Macaca mulatta: one gene and its partner. The protein of the gene in region 1 interacts with the protein of each later gene in a biochemical or structural test. Links are inferred from orthologs where the notes say so. Each region holds a gene or a part of one and is shown in the gene's direction. Other genes may lie near its edges.

Evidence for each region.
Region 2: the proteins of NHLRC1 (region 1) and EPM2A form a complex in vitro, tested with the Homo sapiens proteins (3 studies listed by BioGRID, with this or other methods). The link is inferred for Macaca mulatta from reciprocal best matches to the Homo sapiens genes NHLRC1 and EPM2A.

Annotation. Positions count from the first base shown.
Region 1 is NC_133409.1:164,951,458-164,963,798, forward strand, and holds NHLRC1 (E3 ubiquitin-protein ligase NHLRC1), read left to right. Parts: upstream 1-5,779; 5' UTR 5,780-6,592; coding exon 6,593-7,780; 3' UTR 7,781-8,717; downstream 8,718-12,341. UniProt on the Homo sapiens protein: E3 ubiquitin-protein ligase. Together with the phosphatase EPM2A/laforin, appears to be involved in the clearance of toxic polyglucosan and protein aggregates via multiple pathways.
Region 2 is NC_133409.1:64,004,579-64,016,304, reverse strand, and holds part of EPM2A (laforin), read left to right. Parts: intron 1-3,526; coding exon 3,527-3,701; intron 3,702-11,726. UniProt on the Homo sapiens protein: Plays an important role in preventing glycogen hyperphosphorylation and the formation of insoluble aggregates, via its activity as glycogen phosphatase, and by promoting the ubiquitination of proteins involved in glycogen metabolism via its interaction with the E3 ubiquitin ligase NHLRC1/malin.

The DNA of each region.
Region 1 (12,341 bases):
CTATAAACCTTTTTTAAAAGTCTTTTACTCAGATCCTAGCATCCCTTTTCACATGGTGTCTCCATATATAACAGAATCAAGAAACAAATTTTAATTAAACAATCTGTAATGGAATCAAGAAACAAACTTTAATTAAATAATCTATGTGGAATAAACATTCCCAAATTCTAAGAGTAAATTTTTCTTTGAGTTTTCTCTTAGTTTGGCAGTTGTTGTTTTTTATAATTTAACCTGTTTACATCATCAGGTCTTATAAAGTATAATGTACTTAGAGCTGGATTCATGGCTGTTTATTATGAAAGTTTAGATTTTTCAGTTTTTCATTAACGATCACATTTTGTTATATCAGACAGTCCTCTACAGCTCTGTACTACCCAACAACTAAATGGTTTAGATTGTTCAGCTCATGTTAATAGGATAGTTGTGCATCATAAAAAATGAGTTACGTGTGTGTGTGCGCATGCGTGTGTGCTGGCTTAAAGGTTGTTAATGGGGGGGGGGTTTGGGGTCCCCTTTAACATTGGTGAAAGCTATGGTATTCTCCCCAGAGATATGTCTTGTCAACCTCTCTAGTTCTCCTTGACCTGCATGTACAAACTTCTACCCTAGAAGCTCTCTGCCATTGATGTATTCTAATAGATTTGTAAGGCTATTAATTTGAAGCACCTCCTTGCCCACAATGATTCTTGCATCTCTGAGACATGCTCCCAGTCTATCGTGTGGGCTTCAGAAGCCATGACTCCCCAACTCTGCCTGCATCACCAGTTGAATGGAAAACTGACCCAAGCTGGACCAACACAATTCTCTCCAGAGACTTTTGATTTTACTTTTTTTGTAGAGACAGGGTCTCACTTTGTTGTCCAGGCTGATGTGGAACTTGATGTGAGGCCTCAAGCAGTGCTCCTGTCTCAGCCACCCAAAGTGCTGGGATTACAGGTGTGAGCCATTGCGCTGGCCCTCTTCATAGACTTTTGGACTTGGGAATAGAAAGGCAACCCTGTCTCTACTAAAAATACAAAAAATTAGCCAGGTGTGGTGGCACGCACATGTACTCCCAGCTACTCAGTAGGCTGAGGCAGGAGAATCACTTGAACCTGGGAGGTGGGGGTTGCAGTGAACTGAGATCACGCCACTGCACTCCAGCCTGCGCAACAGAGCGAGACTCCATCTCAAAAAACAGAAAAGAAAGAAAGCCAAGTTGACTGCTGAATGGGGAATCTGTAATGTGTACGCCTGGGGGCTGTGGGGCAGCCACATTCCACCACGTGGATCTGAGAAACAGAATGCTGATCTGTGGAAAGAGAGGCCACCTGTGTTCTGGGTCCATTTTCATCCTTCCTGAAGCCCAGCTGCCCAGGGTGGGGAAGAACACCCTGTGTCCATGGGATAGAGTCCTCTCCTCTTGCACTTGTGCTCAAAGAATCTTCAATAATACAAATGAGATATCCTTCCGTAGTTGATCTTTTATGTAATATGTGTCTTCATTGGGGAATACTGACTTCTCAAAGTCTCAAGATGGAAGATATACCACATATAAATTATTTTAGAGCAATTGAATTGTTTTTAGGATTTTCCAAAAATGCTGCTTGTTTCATTTTGTTATTTAAGTAACAGATTATCTAAGCCTCTGTACCCTGCACACTGTGGTTTACAAATGCCTTGCCCTGCCTATGAAGCAGGCACGAATGCTCCAGTGTAGACAATGTTATCAGTAGCAGACAGGACAAAGAAAGAAAGGTATGTAATAATCAGTCTGTTTGGGTGAATGTGGAAAGAAAAATACAAAGAAATATAACCAAAGCTTAAACAGCTATCACTGGCAAGTTAGAGATTTGGCTCCATAAAGAATGGCACAGGGACCACGGAAGGTGGCCCGAAAGATGTACCTATGAGAGAGCTCCCAGCTGACGGGATTCGTTGGCAGAATGAAGTGACAAATACAACCCAAGCCACGGAGATATTAGTTCAAGTAATTTACCCAGTCACAACTGCAGTACATACCTGTCATTGTTTTATTTTAATACAAGGGAGCAATTTCAATGTGTGTTTGTGGATACATGTATATGTTTATGTTGCACCTACTCCTTATTTTTATTTTTTATTTTGAGACAGGGTCTCACTCTGTCACCCAGGCTGGGGTACGGTGGTGTGATTATAGCTCACTGCGGCCTCGGTTTCCTAGGCTTAAGAAATCCTTCTGCCTCAGCCTCCTGAGTAGATGGGACTGCGGGCATGTGCCACCACACCCAGCTAATTTTTTTTTTCTTTTTAATAGAGATGAGGTCTCACTATGTTGCCCAGCATGATCTCGAACTCCTGGCCTCAAGTGATCCTCCCACCTCAGCCTCCCAAAGTACTGCTCAGCCTACACCTACTCTTTCTGAAAAGTCAGAGTAAGATTTCTACTGAGTGCTTTTTAAAAATCAAAATTATCAGCCGGGTGCAGTGGCTCACGCCTGTAATCCCAGCACTTTGGGAGGTCAAGGTGGGCGGATCACCTGAGGTCGGGTGTTTGAGACCAGCCTGGCCAATATGGTGAAACCCCATCTCTACTAAAAATACAAAGATTAGCAGGGCGTGGTGTCATGTGCCTATAATCCCAGCTACTCAGGAGGCTGAGGCAGGAGAATCGCTTGAACCTGGGAGGCAGAGGTTGCAGTGAGCTGAGATCATGCCACTGCACTCCAGCCTGGGCAACAAGAGCAAAACTCTGTCTCAAAAAAAAAATCAAAATTATCTTTAATCCCCACAGCTCTGACTCCAATAGCTTCTTATGTGATGGCTTTTTGCCTTATAAAACATTATATGACAAACTGATCAGTGGCTGAGTTAATGGGAATCGGATAGAATTCTATTTATGTGCCTTAAGCATAGTCATTCTGATTTGCAGAAAATAGCCATGTCCCAGGTTTATTAATTATGTGTAGCTGTAATTTGTGGGCTGAAAATATGTCTGAAAATCTGTGATTCCTAAACAGTGAGTATTAATAGAAATTTATTTCACTATCAGTGTTAACTTTCAACAACAGGAGGATAATCAAGGCAGATATTTAGAAATGAAATATACCATAAAATATTAAGTTATTTATATTTAAACAAGACAAATAATCCTTTATGCATTGAAAATTTAGGAAGTTTAAAAAGAAAAACAAAAGCAATCAAGTCCTGTCACTGGAGATAATTACTGCTATGATGATGATGTATTTTCTTCTCATCTTTTTTGTCTGCTCATACATGTGTATGTTTTCACAAGGTTGTGATCATATTACGATACAGCATTGCATCTCCACTATCTTCCTTCCTATGTATTCGCCCTTCGCCATGTTGAGGCAGGAGAATAGGGTCTGGAGGCAAGGAACCTAAGGCTGATTGATGCTGACTTCCTAGAACTAAATTGAAAGGAAAACCTCAACTTTCCATGCCTAAGTAACAAAAGGACCAGAGGCTACTCCCTTTGTAACACCTCTCCAACCCCCCCGCCCCCGCCTCCCTGCCTTTTCTGAGTGGCAGAAACGTCTGCAACCAATCAGACGTTTGCATGGGAGTGTAACTTTTGTAACTTCACTTCAGCCTCTGGTTGCAGAAAGCAAAAGCAACCAATCAGACTGATGGCAGGCCACTACTTTATTTGCATGGGATGAATACCAAGTGGCTAATGGGAAACCTCTAGCCGGTATTTGGACCCCAGAAGATTCTGTAACCAGGGCCCTTGAGCCACTGCTTAGCCAGGTCCCACCCTCATTTTCAATAAATCTGTGCTTTCATTGCTTCATTTTGTCCAATTCTTTGTTGAAAAAGCCAAGAATCTGGACAACTTGTAGTCCAGACCCTCTACTGGTTACAACATCACTAAATAGTTTTCAAAAGCAATTTTTTTTTTTTTTTTGAGATGGAGTCTCGCTGTGTCGCTCAGGCTGGAGTGCAGTGGCACGAGCTTGGCTCACTGCAAGCTCCGCCTCCCGGGTTCACGCCATTCTCCTGCCTCAGCCTCCCGAGTTGCTGGGACTACAGGTGCCCGCCACCACGCCTGGCTAATTTTTTGTATTTTTTATTAGAGACAGAGTTTCACCCTGCTAGCCAGGATGGTCTCGATTTCCTGACCTCGTGATCTGCCCGCCTCGGCCTCCCAAAGTGCTGGGATTACAGGCGTGAGCCACTGCGCCCGGCCCAAAAGCAAGATTTTTAAATAGCTGTATAATGTTGTAATGTGGCAGTACCATTATTATTTAGTCTTTCTCCTGTTATTAGAGTCAGCATTCATTCAGCAATTTAAGTACTGTTGGGTGTGCTAGCAGATAAAGGTTTATTGACTGTTGAAGATAGTCCTGTTCTCAGACATCACAGGTTGTAGGAGTAGGGGCTGAACACTGAACTTTACTATATAGCATGGTACGGCTGTCTTAGGGGTACAGGCTGTACAATCTTTGGGTCAGATGACATTTGATTAGCAAACGTTCTTTCTTGTCTTACATTAAAACTCTTTGCAGGGGCCTTAACAGGGTATAAAATGCTGTGTTTTCTCAGAAATCCAGCAAATCAGAAGGTGAACGATCATGATTATGATCTCTGAAGGAACAGAAATTCTCTGATATAAGGTTTTGTTAAGCACAATGTTCACATAAGACATTTGGGGGAGAACCCCTTAAAATAAGAGATCAGGGCCGGGCATGGTGGCTCATGCCTGTAATTGTAGCACTTTGGGAGGCTGACGCGGGTGCATCACCTGAGGTCAGAAGTTCAAGACCAGCCTGGCCAACATGGTGAAACCGCATCACTACTAAAAATACAAAACTTAGCCGTATGTGGTGGTGGGTGCCTTTAATCCCAGCTACTCGGGAGGCTGAGGCGGGAGAATTGCCTGAACCCAGGAGGCTGAGGTTGCAGTGAGCTGAGATCATACCACTGCACTCCAGCCTGGTGACAGAGCAAGACTCCATCTCAAAAAAAAAAGAAAAGAAAAAAAGAAAAAAGAAAAATGAGAGATTCATAATACCACAATGGATTCTTCACGCAGATTATGCTATCCCTTGTTTGAAGATTTTCCAACATATGGCAAATTCTCTTTGCTTTTGGTCTTCACTGAGATTGGAAAAACTGAATTTAGTGCCATTTGAAGGAATTATTATAATGCAGCGGTTCTCAAACTTGGCTGTCCATTATAATCACCTGGGGAGCTTTTATAAATCCCAGCTGTCCAGACCACACCATGGGCCAACTAAACTTTTCGGGTGTGACCCAAGTGTTTACCATGTGCAAAGAAGTTTGAAAATGACTAAAATAGGTAACTCTGAAGTCAAACTGCCTGGCTTCAAATTCCAGGCCAGCCACTTCCTAGCCATGTGACCCTAGGCAAGATATTTGATTTATGTGAACTCTATGAGAAAAAAAGATGATAAAAATAACATTTTCTTGTAGGATTGCTATGAGGTTTAAACAAGATAATCTATGTAAACTATTAAGTTGCTGCAAAAGTAATCACGATTTTTGCCATTAAAAGTGATGGCAAACACTGCGATTACTTTTGCACCAACCTAACAAAACAGGGCAGGCATATGTGAATTCTATAGGCTGGGCACAGTGGCTCACACCAGCACTTTGGGAGGCCAAGGGGTGGGGAGGATTGTGAACAATTTTCACAAGTTCAAGACCAGCCTAGACAAACACAGAGAGACCTCCTCTCTACAAAAAAATTTTAAAAATTAGCCTAGTGTGGTGGTTCATGCCTGTAGTCCCAGCTACTGAAGTGGGAGGATTGCTTGAGTCTGGGAGATGGAGGCTGCACTGAGCTGTGATCGTGCCCCTGCACTCCAGCCTGAGTGACAGAGTGAGACTTGGTCTTTAAAAAAAAAAAAAAAAAAAAAAGTTCTATGGTAATTATTATTAACTAACAGCTTTCTTATTTCATATTAATTACTCTGCAAGACACTTCCAGCGTGGTTCCCCCGTCTGACACTCATTCACCTAGTTGATTTTTTGTTGTTGTTCTATAACATTCTTTCATTCATGCACGAATTCATTTTACAAGTATGTATTCATTGACTTAACAACGAGTGTGAAAGAAGACACAAAAGAAATATACACATCTGCCTCACCTCCCTTGGAGTTTGTCTTCTCCCGTGTGCTCGTGTTTTCCAGTTCAGATCAAAAGCATCATGAGCTAGGGGACCATGTTTGATGCCTGGACAGCCCTAGCACCCAACGCTGAGGATTGGAGACACTGCTAGGTACCCGGGCTGGAAGACTGGGTTCTGGTTCTTGTTTTGGCACTTACAGGCTGGGTAACAGGGAGCAATCCTGTTGTCCTCAATAGGTGTGTTTCCTCACCTGAAAGTGTACAAAATCCATCCATGACTGATGTGACGATTACAGGTCTACACAATGCACATGTGGATTTGTCTTGCAAACGTCCACGACCAGGCCCTCAAGAAACAGTGCCGCGCATGCCCACCAAGGGGCAGCAGATCGCAGTGCAGAGGCCCGCGGCGCTTGACGTCAGGGCGCACGTCCCACCCCGTGACCGTGACTGTGACCGTGACCAAGAGCGTCTCTGGGACACGGCCGGGCGGCGCGGCGGGAGTGCACAGGACCCGCCATGGCGGCCGAAGCCTCGGAGAGCGAGCCGGCTCTGCAGGAGCTCATGCGCGAGGCGGAGATCAGCCTGCTGGAGTGCAAGGTGTGCTTTGAGAAGTTTGGCCACCGGCAGCAGCGGCGCCCGCGCAACCTGTCCTGCGGCCACGTGGTCTGCCTGGCCTGCGTGGCCGCCCTGGCGCACCCGCGCACGCTGGCCCTCGAGTGCCCATTCTGCAGGCGAGCCTGCCGGGGCTGCGACACCAGCGACTGCCTGCCGGTGCTGCACCTCATAGAGCTCCTGGGCTCAGCGCTTCGCCAGTCCCCGGCCGCCCACCGCGCCGTCCCCAGCGCCCCCGGAGCCCTCACCTGCCACCATACCTTTGGCGGCTGGGGGACCCTGGTCAACCCCACCGGACTGGCGCTTTGTCCCAAGACGGGGCGGGTCGTGGTGGTGCACGACGGCAGGAGGCGTGTCAAGATTTTTGACTCTGGGGGAGGATGCGCGCATCAGTTTGGAGAGAAGGGGGACGCTTCCCAAGACATTAGGTATCCTGTGGATGTCACCATCACCAACGACTGCCATGTGGTTGTCACTGACGCCGGCGATCGCTCCATCAAAGTGTTTGATTTTTTTGGCCAGATCAAGCTTGTCATTGGAGGCCAATTCTCCTTACCTTGGGGTGTGGAGACCACCCCTCAGAATGGGATTGTGGTAACTGACGCGGAGGCAGGGTCCCTGCACCTCCTGGACGTCGACTTCGCGGAAGGGCTCCTTCGGAGAACTGAAAAGTTGCAAGCTCATCTGTGCAGTCCCCGAGGGGTGGCAGTGTCTTGGCTCACGGGGGCCATTGCAGTCCTGGAGCACCCCCTGGCCCTGGGGACTGGGGTTTGCAGCACCAGGGTGAAAGTGTTTAGCTCAAGTATGCAACTTGTCGGCCAGGTGGATACCTTTGGGTTGAGCCTCTATTTTCCCTCCAAAATAACTGCCTCCGCTGTGACCTTTGATCACCAGGGAAATGTAATTGTTGCAGATACCTCTGGTCCCGCTATCTTTTGCTTAGGAAAACCTGAGGAGTTTCCAGTACTGAAGCCCATGGTCACTCATGGTCTTTCCCATCCTGTGGCTCTTACCTTCACCAAGGAGAATTCTCTTCTTGTGCTCGACACAGCATCTCATTCTATAAAAGTCTATAAAGTTGACTGGGGGTGATGGGCTGGGGTGGGGCCCTGGAATCAGAAGCACTAGTGCTGCCATTAATGAATTGTTTAACCCTGGATAAGTCACTTAAACTCATCTATGCAGGCAGGGATAATTAAAACTGTCTGGTAGACTTACAAAGCTTAGGACAATTATTAGAGATTAATCTACCATTTATTGAATGCATACTCTTTGTGCAAGGAAATTTGCAAATATTAGCTCATTTAATCCATACTATCCAGTGAGGTAATTTTTTTCCCCCCCGAGATAGAGTCAAGCTCTGTCACCCGGGCTGGAGTGCAGAAACATGATCACAGCTCACTACAGTTTCAACTTCCACCGCTCGGGTGATCCTTCCACCTCAGCCTCCCAAGTAGCTGGGACCACAGGCGTGCGTTACCACATCCAGCTAATTTTTGTATTTTGATAGAGATGGGGTTTCATCATGTTGCCCAGGCTGGTCTCAAACTCCTGAGCTCAAGCAATCCACCTTCCTCGGCCTCCCAAAGTGCTGGGATTACAGGCATAGCCACCTTGCCTAGCCATAATTTTTATTATTAATCTCATCGTGCAAGTGAGAAAACTGAAACCCAGAGAGCTTAAGTGACTTCCTCGAGGTCATAGTTACTTACTGCCATAGTCACAATTTGAATTCAATTCTGATTCCAACTAAGTTGTGCTTAAATAAGATAGCAGATGTGGGGAAAAGTAGGTGAATGAATAGTGTTGCTATGTGTACTGTCTCTACAAGTAGCTAATTATTTTAGCACAAAGATGTGCAAAGAAAGGAGACTTTATGGAGCGTTCAGGAGAAAAAGGATTTTGTGGTGGCCATCACTTTCATTCAATTTGTGACTGCTCTGATGGCACATTAGATGAAGTTACTGTTGATCCTGAATTACGTGAATAAGAAAAACAATTGAACTGCTTATTAAAAAGGTAAACATGTCTTGTAATGCCTATATCTTCTCCACTATACATACTCAGAAAATAACACTTGGTTGTTTGAGAAAGGCCTATATTTACATAAGTTCTAAACTATTGCAGAACACACTACATACTATTGTCAGAGGGCCAGATGACGCTCCTGTTACATGTTTATGTTACATATTTATGGGTTTGTTTGTTTGTTTGTTTGTTTGTTCTTAGACATGGTCTTGCTCTGTTGCCCAGGCTGCAGTGAAGTGGAGTAATCACTGCTCACTGCAGTCTCAACGCCCTGGGCTCAAGCGATCCTCTTGCCTCAGCAACCTGAATAACTGGGACTAGAGGTGTGTCACCATGCCCAGCTAATTTTTAATTTTTTCGTAGAGATGGGATCTTGCTTTGTAGCCCAAACTGGTTTCAAGCTCCTGGGCTCAAGCGAGCCTCCTATCTTGGCCTCCCAAAGCACTGGGACTATGAGCCACTGTGCCTCACCCATGTAAAGTAAAAGTGAGAGCCTAACTCCCATGCCAGTCCACAAAAACCCATTTTGTTGTCAATGCTCTCATCATATAGCACTAATAGTAAGATTTGGGGCACCCTAGACCACGATTTATAAATGCATTCTAAACAGAAGTTCTATGGACAAATCTCTTGTCCCCACATGCACATATCCCACCATTAAAGTCACCCCTAGGTTGGTGACTTCACGGGTGTTCTGAATACATACCAAGAAACATTCCAAGTGGAGATGTGAATTCAGACTTATTTGGTCATTTATGAATAGAGCAACTGAGGACAGATCTTAGACCATTTTCCTTAAGAACAATGACAGTTTAATGATTTTAGGATTAGTAGAGCCAATTCAAAAGATTTTTCTCTTTGGAATTATTAATGGCATCGTCTCTGATTATAAAGCTGGACATGTGTCCTTTTCAGACAGCAGTCATGATAAAGGTGTGGAATATGCAATGCAGGGAGGTATGTGAGCAAGGTAGCATTGCTGGTCATCATGTGGATTACCTGACTTCAAGAATCAGGTGCGCATCTGTGAGATGATGTGGGAGTGTATCAGACCTGTGATAACAAGCCATCTTAGTAACTGGTATCTTTCCTTGGTAGATTATCAGGCTTGGGACTGGAATGGGGCTGGATGCACAACATAAAAAGAACTGTATAAAGCAGCACTTCCCAGGAATGTCCTAGGACAGGAGCAGAGTTTCCTTGAGGAAGACACGAAGCTTGTTGTTCTTGATTATCAGGCACACACGTGCTGAGAGAATAGTTTCAGTGACTTGTAAGGCAGATGCAAAATTCATCTTCCAGACTGTGTTCTTTTTTTTTTTTTTTTTTTTTTTTTTTTTTGAGACAGAGTCTGGCTCTGTTGCTCAGGTTACAGTACAATGGTGCAATCTCTGCTCACTGCAACTTCTGCCTCCCAGGTTCAAGCTATTCTCCTGCCTCGGCCTCTGCAGCAGCTGGGATTACAGGCACCCACCATCATGCCCAGCTAATTTTTGTATTTTTAGTAGAGATGAAGTTTCACCATGTTGGCCAGACTGGTCTCAAACTCCTGACTTCAAGTGATCCACCTGCCTCGGCCTCCCAAAGTACTGGGATTACAGGCATGAGCCACCGCACCCAGCCAGACTGTGTTCTTTAAAGCAAGCTGGTTAAAAGGCTTGAGATATGTCATGCTGAACTCCAGGTTATTGAAGAAATTGGAGAATTCTGAGACAGGCAGGAAAAAATAACCCCAGCAGAAAGTAAAAGCTTCCAAGGTGATGAAGAAGGTTTGGAATGACTCGCAGAGGTTGAAACAAAAGAACGTGCCCAGGAGTAAAGGGAGAAGGAAAAGAAAATAGGCTCTTCCAGAATATCCCCCATGGCCTGCCTGGTGAGTCCATAAAAGCAAACACAGACACTTTGGCTCCTGTGTCAGCAGTTCTCATATCACCCTCCATCTATTCCAATTTTGCCCAATTCCCAATCCTTCGATTGTCTCCTGCTTTTGACCTTGTTCCACCCTCTGGACTTGCCGCCTGGAGTTGGTTTTCTCAATCTCTTTCCTTGGCATTTTGTAAAGACCTTGGTTCATATTCGTAAATCTCCCCTCTAGCAAATCTAGCTCTGGACCCCAGGACCCAGACCATCACGATTTTGCTAGTGCCTTATGCAGACCTTCCCCGGCCCCCAACTAAGTGGGGTGCAGACCCCACCTAAAGTGAATTATGAACCTTCTAAGGAACAAGCATTAACCTGTGCACCTCAGAAAAATGAGGAAGAACCACTGATGATAGCAAATCTAATAATCCTTACACATGCCATATTAAAAAGAAATATATACTGGTGTTAGTGTTCCACTATAGAGATATGCTATGGTGGTGTATCATGGCTAGTCAGGAGGTGAACTGTTTTCTTGGAGAATGTGTAGCAAATATGATAGGGCAGCCAGAGACTCACCACAACTACTGTATTGAGTAACCATGGTGTCTGTTGTGCCCACGGCCACGTCTAAGAAAAACTGCCCCATCAAGAGCCAGCCGTCAGCAGCCGGGTTTTCTATTACACGATCCCCTCGGACCATAGCTACTTGGATAGGGGTGCACACCTAACAGAAGGACAGCCAATCAACCAATGATACTCTACCCGATGTATTAATTAGACCAGGAAACTGACTATGAATTGGCGTGGGATAAACATATTTTCCTTACAAGGAGCACAGAGATCCAATTACATTCCGGTCCTTGATTTTTTTTTTTTAGATAGAGTTTCTCTCTTGTTGCCCAGGCTGGAGTACTATGGCGTGATCTCAGCTTACTGCAACCTCCGCCTCTCAAGTTCAAGTGATTCTCCTGCCTTAGCCTCCGAGTAGCTGGGATTACAGGCATGTGCCACCACGCCCAGCTAATTTTGCATTTTTAGTAGAGACAGGGTTTCTCCATGTTGGTCAGGCTGGTCTCGAACTCCCAACCTCAGGTAATCCATCCACGTCGGCCTCCCAAAATGCCGGGATTGGTCATGAGCCACCGCGTCTGGCCATCCTTGATATTTTGAATTCAGAAATATGGAGCATGTTATGCTGATGGCAGCCTGGGGAATGACAGAAATACACTCAGTTACAGGGGTGCAGAGAGTCCCTGTGGACAAGCCACATCATGAATAAGAAGCTATGAGGCAGAGGGAAGACAAAACTCACAGGAATCCAGGTAAGAATGGGAGGAAGAAATGCATCCGGAGAAGCAGTGGCTTGGAGCCATGTTACCTCCAGGGCACCAGCATGATGGTCCCTACTGCAAGATCTGTGGAGCTGCCCTGACTCCACTTTGCTTCTCTGCAAGGCCCAGCTGCCCTATGGTTTCTGTTCTTGGAGTCCCAACAACTCTCTCCTATCCCATGCGAATTCTTATACTAAATGCTCCACTGCTTCAGCGAACCTGCACAAATCTGTTTTTTTGCAACAGAAAGTTTGGCCGGGCATGGTGGCTCACGCCTGTAATCTCAGCACTTTGGGAGGCTGAGGCCAGTGGATCACCTGAGGTCAGGAGTTCGAGACCAGCCTGGCCTACATGGTGAAACTCCGTCTCTACTGAAAATAAAAAAAATTTAACGTGGTAGCAGGCACCTGTAATCCCAGCTACTCGGGAGG
Region 2 (11,726 bases), about 100 Mb from region 1:
CTCATTCTTTTCTGACACCATGACTGGTGTAATGGTGTTTAATTTAACTGGAGTTTAACTGGAGTTTAACTGGAGTTTAACTGGAGTTTAACTGGAGTAGTGTAGTTATTATCAAACAGATTTCTGTCTGGCTAGGCTTGTCTTTTCATTTGGCTAGAGAGAGTGGACTTTTGTCATGTTTTCCTTTTGCTGTCCTTGTGTTACCAGGTTGCTGGCTTCTTCAGATCTAAGTCTGGGATATATAAGGCAAAAAGAAAATGCAGGGAACTCAATACTTAGGTCTTTCCTTAGGTCTCAGTGTCTCTGGATGGTCTGTCTTCTCTTTGCCTTTCAAAGTTATCTTATGTTTGTTTATTTATAATTTTCAGGGTTTTAAATTATACTTAGTGGGAGGACTAGGGAAAAATACATTTATTCCATAGTTCTACATGCAGAAATCTCCAAAACCAAAATTATTTTACTATTCATTTTTGCCATTTCATTAGGTGAAATTAAAAAGACAAAAACCCATCCTCTAAAATACATTTTAACTATTAGAACATATTTTGAATAACTCAGGTTACTATCTATGAAAGATTTTTTTAAATGTTGCCTAAAACATAAAGGTATAAAAATGAGCAATTAAAGAAATCATTGTAGGAATGAAGAATTCTTATGAAGATGATGATACATAAATAATTCTTCTTGACCGTCATAATTTATGAATATTTGATCTCTTCAACAATTATATTTTTAAAGGTTGTTGTAAGTCAGTGTTGTAAGTGTAAGTCAGTGTTGTAAGTGTAAGTCAGTGTTGTAAGTCAGTGTTGTAAGTCAATTGTACTGACCAATGGGAGCCATAGATATTCTTTCATTAAACTAAAAAAAACACCCACTCCTTGTAGGTAATCCAATCAATTCAAAACAGTTGACTATGACAGTTTCCCTCCATCCAATTCCATTTCCTAGAAGTAACCACATCCAGTTTGTAGTCTGTGTTTACACTTTCAGTCATGCTCTGCCGCTTCACTTAGCCACTCTTGCTTTTCCTTTTCAGCTTCTCTCTCTATTCATCTTTTGTAAGTTTATCCTTCTATCTCTGGCTGTTAAACATGGAAAGACTTTCAGACTTTGTTCTAGAACGTTTTTCCTCAATTCATATTGTTTTGCTTTGTGACTCATCTATGTTCCTATTTCAATTACCATTTACACTCAAATTACTCATATATTTATGTTTCTAGTTCAGATTTCTGGTCTTAATATCAAATCAATAACTCCAGCTCTCTGTTTGACGACTCCTTTTGGATATCTAAAGAGTACTTCCAACCCAACGTTGCCAAAACTGGATAGATGATCTTTCCTTACAGCCTCTTTCAGATTTTGCATCTCAGTGAATAGTACCACTGTATATTGAATTATTTTCACTAGAAGCTTAGGAGTCATTATTGATCCCCTTTCATTTTCACCTTCCTTTTCCAATTAATCAAGTCCTGTGGCTTTTCCCTCCTGAATCTGCATAATCCTTTCAATGTCTGTGACCAAGCTTCATCATAAACCACCTAGGCCAATATAGTAGTTTTTAAAATGGACTCTCTGCTTCTGTCTGATTGTTCTTAAATTATTTTTTTACTCTGTAGCCAGAGAGGTATCCTCAAAATAAAATCTGGTTATGTTACATGTCTGCTTAGAATATTTCAAATTTTTAATTGCTCTTATGATAAATATCTGAGTTCTTAACATGACCTAGGACAGTATCTGCCTCAATAAATATTTGTAGAAGAATGAAAAAAACTTATGGTTTACAGTATTTTCTATTAAAATAGTATTACTATACACATGTATCTCTGTATGCATCAGAGATTCTTTTTTCTTATTAATATTTCTGTTGGATATGTTTCTAGAAGTGAAGTTGCTAGTATAGTTTGGATTTTATCTATTAAAAATGAAGGTTAATAGAGATGTGGTGCAGTGCCTTGTAGTCATCGAGAAAAAACATCCATTAAGAGAAAAAAGAGGTGACGGATCTAGGAAGATCAGTAATGGTTTATTAAGGGAGTCATCCTGTACCTTCTGTCTGATGGAAGGAGTTATATCTCAAAGAAACACCAAATAATTTAAGGATTTTTTTGAGAGCTTATGCCACAAGCAGATCTAGGTTAAATATTTTGTAAGACAGAGCAAGGAGAAAAGAACAAATGAATCACATTTTTATATTCATAACAGATGTGATTTATTTCTGTAAATCACTCATACATTTAGTTTGCTTACATGTCTTTCTTACAGTATATTATAATTAGGTAGTATAAAGAAAGGCATGATTTGAAATGGGATAATAAAAAGGTAATAAAAATAATGTATGAATTATAATTTTTAGAGAAATCAAGGTTTACTAGTATCTAAGACCATTTGGGCTGCTGTAAACAAAACACTGTATGTTGGTTAGCTTATAAACGATAGAAATTTATTGCTCACAGTTCTGGAGGCTGGGGGGTCTAAAATTGAGGCATACCAGATTCAGTGATTGGTGAGGGCTCACTTTCTGGTTCATAGACGGCGGCGACATGCTGTTTTCTCACATGGTGGAAGGGAGCGAGGGGTTTCTTTCATCCCTCTTTTATAAGGGAGCTAATCACATTGGTGAGGGTTCTTCTTTATGACCTAATCATCCTCTAAGGGCCCCAGCTCCTAATACCAACACCTTGGGTGTTAGGATTTCAACATATAAATTTTGGGGGAACAAAAACATTCATACCATAGCAACTAGTGTACTTGATACTGCGCAGAATCGTGAAATAGGCAAATAATATTTTTAGAGATGTGTCTCTGCTTCCTTTGATCCATGGCCCTTTAAGGAAGACGGTGTGTCTTTGTGCATATGACATCAGCAGGGAGCATCACAAAGGCATCAGATGCCGAAAAGGTGGGGGACTAGGAGAGGCAGGTTGCTGCTAGCGCCGCACTACTAGTTCTATGACCTTGGGCAAGCTAGTTAATCTCTGTGAGACTTATTTTCCTCATTTGAAAATAATGATAATAACTGTTTTACCTGTAAAGTAGATTTGATGTGATCATTTATTATTTATTGATGCATTTATTTGTAATTACACATTTTTTGGTTGAGCTGATACTAAAACACTTTATTCCTGATTTTATTCATAAATTTGCATACCAGAAAGATAGAATTGTATAATACAGGGGCATTAATAGCTTTAAAAACTTTTTTTAGGAGCTTCTCAGGCTGCAAAGTGATTCATAATGGCCTCTTAGAGCACTGAGAGGTACCATGAAACTCTGAGTTAACATGCTTTTTATAACCCATGTACTCAAAGGGAGTAAAACACTCTGATTTTCATAAGTAGCTCTTTACAAACTCCTACTGTTCTGTTTTTCACTCTAGTCTTTTTTGTTTATACTGAAATGTGTAGATTAAGTAGCTTTGTTTATTTATTTATTTATTTTTTGCTATTAATTTTGTATCAGCCGCTTTGAGGATGTTTAAACCAAACACTGATTTAATTGCTCTGTTTATCATTTCTTCTTGTTCTAGGCAATGGACCTCATCATGACCGTTGCTGTACTTACAATGAAAACAACTTGGTGGATGGTGTGTATTGTCTCCCAATAGGACACTGGATTGAGGCCACTGGGCACACCAATGAAATGAAGCACACAACAGACTTCTATTTTAATATTGCAGGCCACCAAGCCATGCATTATTCAAGGTAAAAATAGTGCTATATTTATAAGCATAGAAGTGGTACAAGAGGTAGCATTAGCAACAATGGAAATATTTACTGTGTTCAAAACTGCAGTGTCTCACTTTGGAGGGGTCTATAGGCCTGTAATACTTTCAGGAGATAATTACAGTGAATCAGTGTGTAAGCTTTTCTGGGTCTAGATGTGGAGGATTTTAAAAATAGAATTCTTTAATAAATGCATACCCTAGCATCAATATATTTTGACCAGATAGTAGCTAACCAATCTCTGTATTTATGTAGTGGATTAAAAATAAAAACTTCACTAACATAGTCTAAATTAGTATTTGTGTCCTTTATGCTACTGACTACCAGTGTAACAAAAATTGGTATTTCCTTATAACATCTTATTTAAATAAATATGTGTGAAAATACACAGAACTAGATTGAATGTGATTATCTGCTTCATTATTTGTTAATATTTTGATTTATTTGTTCATTTAATTCCTAAACCAGGAGGTTGCTAAATAAAACGTAAGGCTCATTATCCTTTTCTCCTTTCCCACTCATCAGAAATGATTATTTTTAATCACTTTCTGGTTAGTTTTTCTTGAGATTAAATCTAAATCTTAAACAATATGCATATGTGTTGCTTGTTAATGTACCAGTTTAACAATAGCTATTGATTCCCCTCTGTTACACATAGGAAATTGACGTCTCTCGTACTTGTCCTCTCTCCCCACTCCAGTCCCTACCAGGCATTTTTTTGAAAAGTTCCATTGTTACTTACCATCATACAAATTCTATGTCTTGACCCATCAGTTTTTCACAATGTCTCCTAGTTTCCTACATTGTAAGAGCGGAGATTTTTTTTCTTCTTGTATTTTTTTTCCACATCTATTTCCACCTACTGACTCCTGCCTTTAAATTACTTTTATAATTTCAAGGCTTATCGAATTTACATTAAACTTAGTAAATATACATTTCTTTCACACTTTTATTATTTAAAATTTAAAAGCAATTGCCAACATTTAAAATATTATGTGTTATTTACTGTAGAACTTACAGTATTTGTGCCATACACAAGGAGATGCATTCTCATGTTCTTAAAGAACGTGTTGTTTTGAATGAAAGATACAATTAATAAAACACAGTTGTGAGGGGTAAAAGAGAGAGAAAATGCAATTTCACAATAGTTTTAGGCAATTAATATTCCTCTTGAACACATCTTTCTTTCAAACTTCTGGTAGATGTTGGCTTTGCTGGTGGGTTGTATGCATAGAATGAGGAAAAGAAGAGTTAAGCATGTCTCGTGGCTTTATGGCCTGAGCTACTGAATTAATGGTGTTGCTGCTTACTGAGATGGGGAAGACTAGGAGATGAGCAATTTGAAGTAGGAATTGAGGTGAAAGTTGTACTTTAGTCATTTCTTGAAATGTCTGTTAGATTACAGGAAGCAAATTGATTTGATTTCAGGAATTTTAGGGAGAGCTTGGAAATAAAGATATAGAATTGGCAGTTATCAAGACATAGATAGCATTCAAAATGATGAGTCTAGATGAGACAATAGTAAATGAGTGAAGTATAGAAGAGACAAAGAGAAGAAGCAAAAATATTGAGCCCTGGTGCACACAATTTAGAAGTCAAGGATAAGCAGAAGATCCAGAGAAAAGAATGAGAAGGAACACCTCTTGAGATGGTCTGACATTTAATGAGGATGTGTATATGGGTTCTTTTAAATTGATCCTGAACCACATTTCCTGAATGAACCCTTTTTTCTGAAGAGTCATGTCTTGGGCTCTGGAGTTTTTATTTCCACTGTATAATTATTTCTTCTCCTTGATTGCCTTTGTTCTTTGTCATCAGAGACACTCCTTACATGGATGTTGGACCTCTTGGATTTACATTTTATGTTTGTCAACTTTTTTATTGCTTTACATTTTGAGAGGCTTCTTAATTTCCAATTCAATATCAATTTTTTTTCTTAATTTTGGTAATTGTATTCTTAATTTTCATGGACTTTTACTTATTCAGTTATTCACTTTTTGCATATTAGTTTGTCCTTGTTTATGAATGAGTATATTCATGAATCTTAGAATACTAATGAAAGTTATTTTTAAGTTCTCTTCTCTATTTTTTTTTTTCTTTTCAACTTGTTTATTGTACTCCTTAACATAAGTCATTCTTTCTGAGCCTCAACTCTGAACACATAAAATGGGGATAAGGTTGTTACAGGGGCTGAATGATGTAACAATATAAACAACTTTTAATATTATGATCAGTCCACCTCCATACGGTTTTCCATAATGGTTGTGCTAATTTATATTACTACCAGCAGTTTGTCAAGGTTCTCTTGTCTCTATATCCTCGTCAACACTTGGTGTTTTATGATTTTTTAATTGTAGCCATTCTGATTAGAGTGAGGTGTTATCTTCTTGCAGTCTTGATTTGCATTTCCCTGCTAATTAGTGATATTGAACATTTTTTTTCATATATCTTGGCCATTTGTATGTCTTCTCTTTTTTATTATTATTATACTTTAAGTTCTAGGGTACATGTGCACAATGTGCAGGTTTGTTACATATCTATACTTGTGCCGAGTTGGTGTGCTGCACCCATCAACTCATCAGCACCCATCAACTCGTCATTTACATCAGGTATAACTCCCAATGCCATCCCTCCCCCCTCCCCACTCCCCATAATAGGCCCCAGTGTGTGATGGTCCCCTTCCTGTGTCCAAGTGATCTCATTGTTCAATTCCCACCCATGAGTGAGAACATGCGGTATTTGGTTTTCTGTTCTTGCGATAGTTTGCTGAGAATGATGGTTTCCAGCTGCATCCATGTCCCTACAAAGGACACAAACTCATCCCTTTTTATGGCTGCATAGTATTCCATGATGTATATGTGCCACATTTTCTTAATCCAGTCTGTCACTGATGGACATTTGGGTTGATTCCAAGTCTTTGCTATTGTGAATAGTGCCGTAATAAACATACGTGTGCATGTGTCTTTATAGCAGCATGATTTATAATCCTTTGGGTATATACCCAGTAATGGATGGCTGGGTCATATGGTATTTCTAGTTCTAGAACCTTGAGGAATTGACATACTGTTTTCCACAATGGTTGAACTAGTTTACAATCCCACCAACAGTGTAAAAGTGTTCTTATTTCTCCACATCCTCTCCAGCACCTGTTGTTTCCTGACTTTTTAATGATTGCCATTCTAACTGGTGTGAGATGGTATCTCATTGTGGTTTTGATTTGCATTTCTCTGATGGCCAGTGATGGTGAGCATTTTTTCATGTGTCTGTTGGCTGTATGAATGTCTTCTTTTGAGAAATATCTGTTCATATCCTTTGCCCACTTTTTGATGGAGTTGTTTGTTTTTTTCTTGTAAATTTGTGTGAGTTCTTTGTAGGTTCTGGATATTAGCCCTTTGTCAGATGAGTAGATTGCAAAAATTTTCTCCTATTCTGTAGGTTGCCTGTTCACTCTGATGGTAGTTTCTTTTGCCATGCAGAAGCTCTTTAGTTTAATTAGATCCCATTTGTCAATTTTGGCTGTTGTTGTCATTGCTTTTGGTGTTTTAAACATGAAGTCCTTACCCATGCCTATGTCCTGAATGGTGTTACCTAGGTTTTCTTCTAGGGTTCTTATGGTATTAGGTCTAACGTTTAAGTCTCTAATCCATCTTGAATTAATTTTCGTATAAGGAGTAAGGAATGGATCCAATTTCAGCTTTCCACTTATGGCTAGCCAATTTTCCCAGCACCATTTATTAAATAGGGAATCCTTTCACCATTTCTTGTTTTTGTCAGGATTGTCAAAGATCAGATGGCTGTAGATGTGTGGTATTATTTCTGAGGGCTCTGTTCTGTTCCATTGGTCTATATCTCTGTTTTGGTACCAGTACCATGCTGTTTTGGTTACTGTAGCCTTGTAGTATAATTTGAAATCAGGTAGCGTGATGCCTCCAGCTTTGTTCTTTTGACTTAGGATTGTCTTGGAGATGCGGGCTCTTTTTTGGTTCCATATGAACTTTAAAGCAGTTTTTTCCAATTCTGTGAAGAAACTCATTGGTAGCTTGATGGGGATGGCATTGAATCTATAACGTACCTTGGGCAGTATGGCCATTTTCACAATATTGATTCTTCCTATCCATGAGCATGGTATGTTCTTCCATTTGTTTGTATCCTCTTTTATTTCACTGAGCAGTGATTTGTAGTTCTCCTTGAAGAGGTCCTTTACATCCCTTGTAAGTTGGATTCCTAGGTATTTTATTCTCTTTGAAGCAATTGTGAATGGAAGTTCATTCATGATTTGGCTCTCTGTTTGTCTGTTACTGGTGTATAAGAATGCTTGTGATTTTTGCACATTAATTTTGTATCCTGAAACTTTGCTGAAGTTGCTTATCAGCTTAAGGAGATTTTGGGCTGAGATGATGGGGTTTTCTAAATATACAATCATGTCATCTGCAAACAGGGATAATTTGACTTCTTCTTTTCCTAACTGAATACCCTTGATTTCTTTCTCTTGCCTGATTGCCCTAGCCAGAACTTCCAGCACTATGTTGAATAGGAGTGGTGAGAGAGGGCATCCCTGTCTTGTGCCAGTTTTCAGAGGGAATGCTTCCAGTTTTTGCCCATTCAGTATGATATTGGCTGTGGTTTTGTCATAAATAGCTCTTATTATTTTGAGATACGTTCCATCAATACTGAATTTATTGAGAGTCTTTAGCATGAAGGGCTGTTGAATTTTGTCAAAGGCCTTTTCTGCATCTATTATTGAGATAATCATGTGGTTTTCGTCTTGAGTTCTGTTTATATGCTGGATTACGTTTATTGATTTGCGTATGTTGAACCAACGTTGCATCCCAGGGATGAAGCCCACTTGACCATGGTGGATAAGCCTTTTGATGTGCTGCTGGATTCAGTTTGCCAATATTTTATTGAGGATTTTTGCATCGATGTTTATCAGGGATATTGGTCTAAAATTCTCTTTTTTTTGTTGTGTCTCTGCCAGGCTTTGGTATCAGGATGATGTTGGCCTCATAAAATGAGTTAGGGAGGATTCCCTCTTTTTCCATTGATTGGAAGAGTTTCAGAAGGAATGGTACCAGCTCCTCCTTGTACCTCTGGTAGAATTCAGCGGTAAATCTATCTGGTCCTGGACTTTTTTTGGTTGGTAGGCTATTAATTATTGCCTCAATTTCCGAGCCTGCTATTGGTCTATTCAGGGATTCAACTTCTTCCTGGTTTAGTCTTGGGAGAGTGTAAGTGTCCAGGAAATTATCCATTTCTTCTAGATTTTCTAGTTTATTTGCATAGAGGTGTTTATAGTATTGTCTGATGGTAGTTTGTATTTCTGTGGGGTCTGTGGTGATATCTCCTTTATCATTTTTTATTGCATCTATTTGATTCTTCTCTCTTTTCTTCTTTATTAGTCTTGCTAGTGGTCTATCAATTTTGTGGATCTTTTCAAAAAACCAGCTCCTGGATTCATTGATTTTTTGGAGGGTGTTTTTGTGTCTCTATCTCCTTCAGTTCTCCTCTGATCTTAGTTATTTCTTGCCTTCTGCTAACTTTTCAATGTGTTTGCTCTTGTTTCTCTAGTTCTTTTAATTGTGATGTTAGAGTGTCAATTTTAGATCTTTCCTGCTTTCTCTTGTGGGCATTTAGTGCTATAAATTTCCCTCTACACACTGCTTTAAATGTGTCCCAGAGATTCTGGTATGTTGTATCTTTGTTCTCATTGGTTTCAAAGAACATCTTTATTTCTGCCTTCATTTCGTTATGTACCCAGTAGTCATTCAGGAGCAGGTTGTTCAGTTTCCATGTAGTTGAGCGGTTTTGATTGAGTTTCTTAGTCCTGAGTTCTAGTTTGATTGCACTGTGGTCTGAGAGACAGTTTGTTATAATTTCTGTTCTTGTACATTTGCTGAGGAGTGCTTTACTTCCAATTACGTGGTCAATTTCGGAGTAAGTACGATGTGGTGCTGAGAAGAATGTATATTCTGTTGATTTGGGGTGGAGAGTTCTATAGATGTCTATTAGGTCTGCTTGGTGCAGAGTTGAATTCAATTCCTGGATATCCTTGTTAACTTTCTGTCTCGTTGATCTGTCTAATGTTGACAGTGGAGTGTTGAAGTCTCCCATTATTATTGTATGGGAGTCTAAGTCTCTTTGTAAGTCTCTAAGGACTTGCTTTATGAATCTGGGTGCTCTTGTATTGGGTGCATATATATTTAGGATAGTTAGCTCTTCCTGTTGAATTGATCCCTTTACCATTATGTAATGGCCTTCTTTGTCTCTTTTGATCTTTGATGGTTTAAAGTCTGTTTTATCAGAGACTAGTATTGCAACCCCTGCTTTTTTTTGTTCTCCATTTGCTTGGTAAATCTTCCTCCATCCCTTTATTTTGAGCCTATGTATGTCTCTGCATGTGAGATGGGTCTCCTGAATACAGCAGACTGATGGGTCTTGACTCTTTATCCAGTTTGCCAGTCTGTGTCTTTTAATTGGAGCATTTAGTCCATTTACATTCAAGGTTAATATTGTTATGTGTGAACTTGATCCTGCCATTATGATAGTAACTGGTTATTTTGCTCGTTAGTTGATGCAGTTTCTTCCTAGCCTCAATGGTCTTTACATTTTGGCATGTTTTTCCAATGGCTGGTACCGGTTGTTCCTTTCCATGTTGAGTGCTTCCTTCAGGGTCTCTTGTAAGGCAGGCCTAGTGGTGACAAAATCTCTAAGCATTTGCTTATCTGTAAAGGATTTTATTTCTCCTTCACTTATGAAACTTAGTTTGGCTGGATATGAAATTCTGGGTTGAAAATTCTTTTCTTTAAGAATGTTGAATATTGGCCCCCACTCTCTTCTGGCTTGTAGAGTTTCTGCTGAGAGATCTGCTGTTAGTCTGATGGGCTTCCCTTTGTGGGTAACCCGACCTTTCTCTCTGGCTGCCCTTAAGATTTTTTCCTTCATTTCAACTTTGGTGAATCTGGCAATTATGTGTCTTGGAGTTGCTCTTCTCGAGGAGTATCTTTGTGGCGTTCTCTGTATTTCCTGGATTTGAATGTTGGCCTGTCCTACTAGGTTGGGGAAGTTCTCCTGGATGATATCCTGAAGAGTGTTTTCCAACTTGGTTCCATTTTCCCCCTCACTTTCAGGCACCCCAATCAGACGTAGATTTGGTCTTTTTACATAATCCCATACTTCTTGCAGGCTTTGTTCATTTCTTTTTCTTCTTTTTTCTTTTGGTTTCTCTTCTCGCTTCATTTCATTCATTTGATCCTCAATCGCAGATACTCTTTCTTCCAGTTGATCGAGTTGGTTACTGAAGCTTGTGCATTTGTCACGTATTTCTCGTGTCATGGTTTTCATCTCTTTCATTTCGTTTAGGACCTTCTCTGCATTAATTACTCTAGCCATCAATTCTTCCACTTTTTTTTCAAGATTTTTAGTTTCTTTGCGCTGGGTACGTAATTCCTCCTTTAGCTCTGAGAAATTTGATGGACTGAAGCCTTCTTCTCTCATCTCGTGAAAGTCATTCTCCGTCCAGCTTTGATCCGTTGCTGGCGATGAGCTGCGCTCCTTTGCCGGGGGAGATGCACTCTTATTTTTTGAATTTCCAGCTTTTCTGCCCTGCTTTTTCCCCATCTTTGTGGTTTTATCTGCCTCTGGTCTTTGATGATGGTGATGTACTGATGGGGTTTTGGTGTAGGTGTCCTTCCTGTTTGATAGTTTTCCTTCTAACAGTCAGGACCCTCAGCTGTAGGTCTGTTGGAGATTGCTTGAGGTCCACTCCAGACCCTGTTTGCCTGGGTGTCAGCAGCAGAGGCTGCAGAAGATAGAATATTGCGGAACAGCGAGTGTACCTGTCTGATTCTTGCTTTGGAGGCTTCCTCTCAGGGGTGTACTCCACCCTGTGAGGTGTGGGGTGTCAGACTGCCCCTAGTGGGGGATGTCTCCCAGTTAGGCTACTCAGGGGTCAGGGACCCACTTGAGCAGGCAGTCTGTCCCTTCTCAGATTTCAACCTCCGTGTT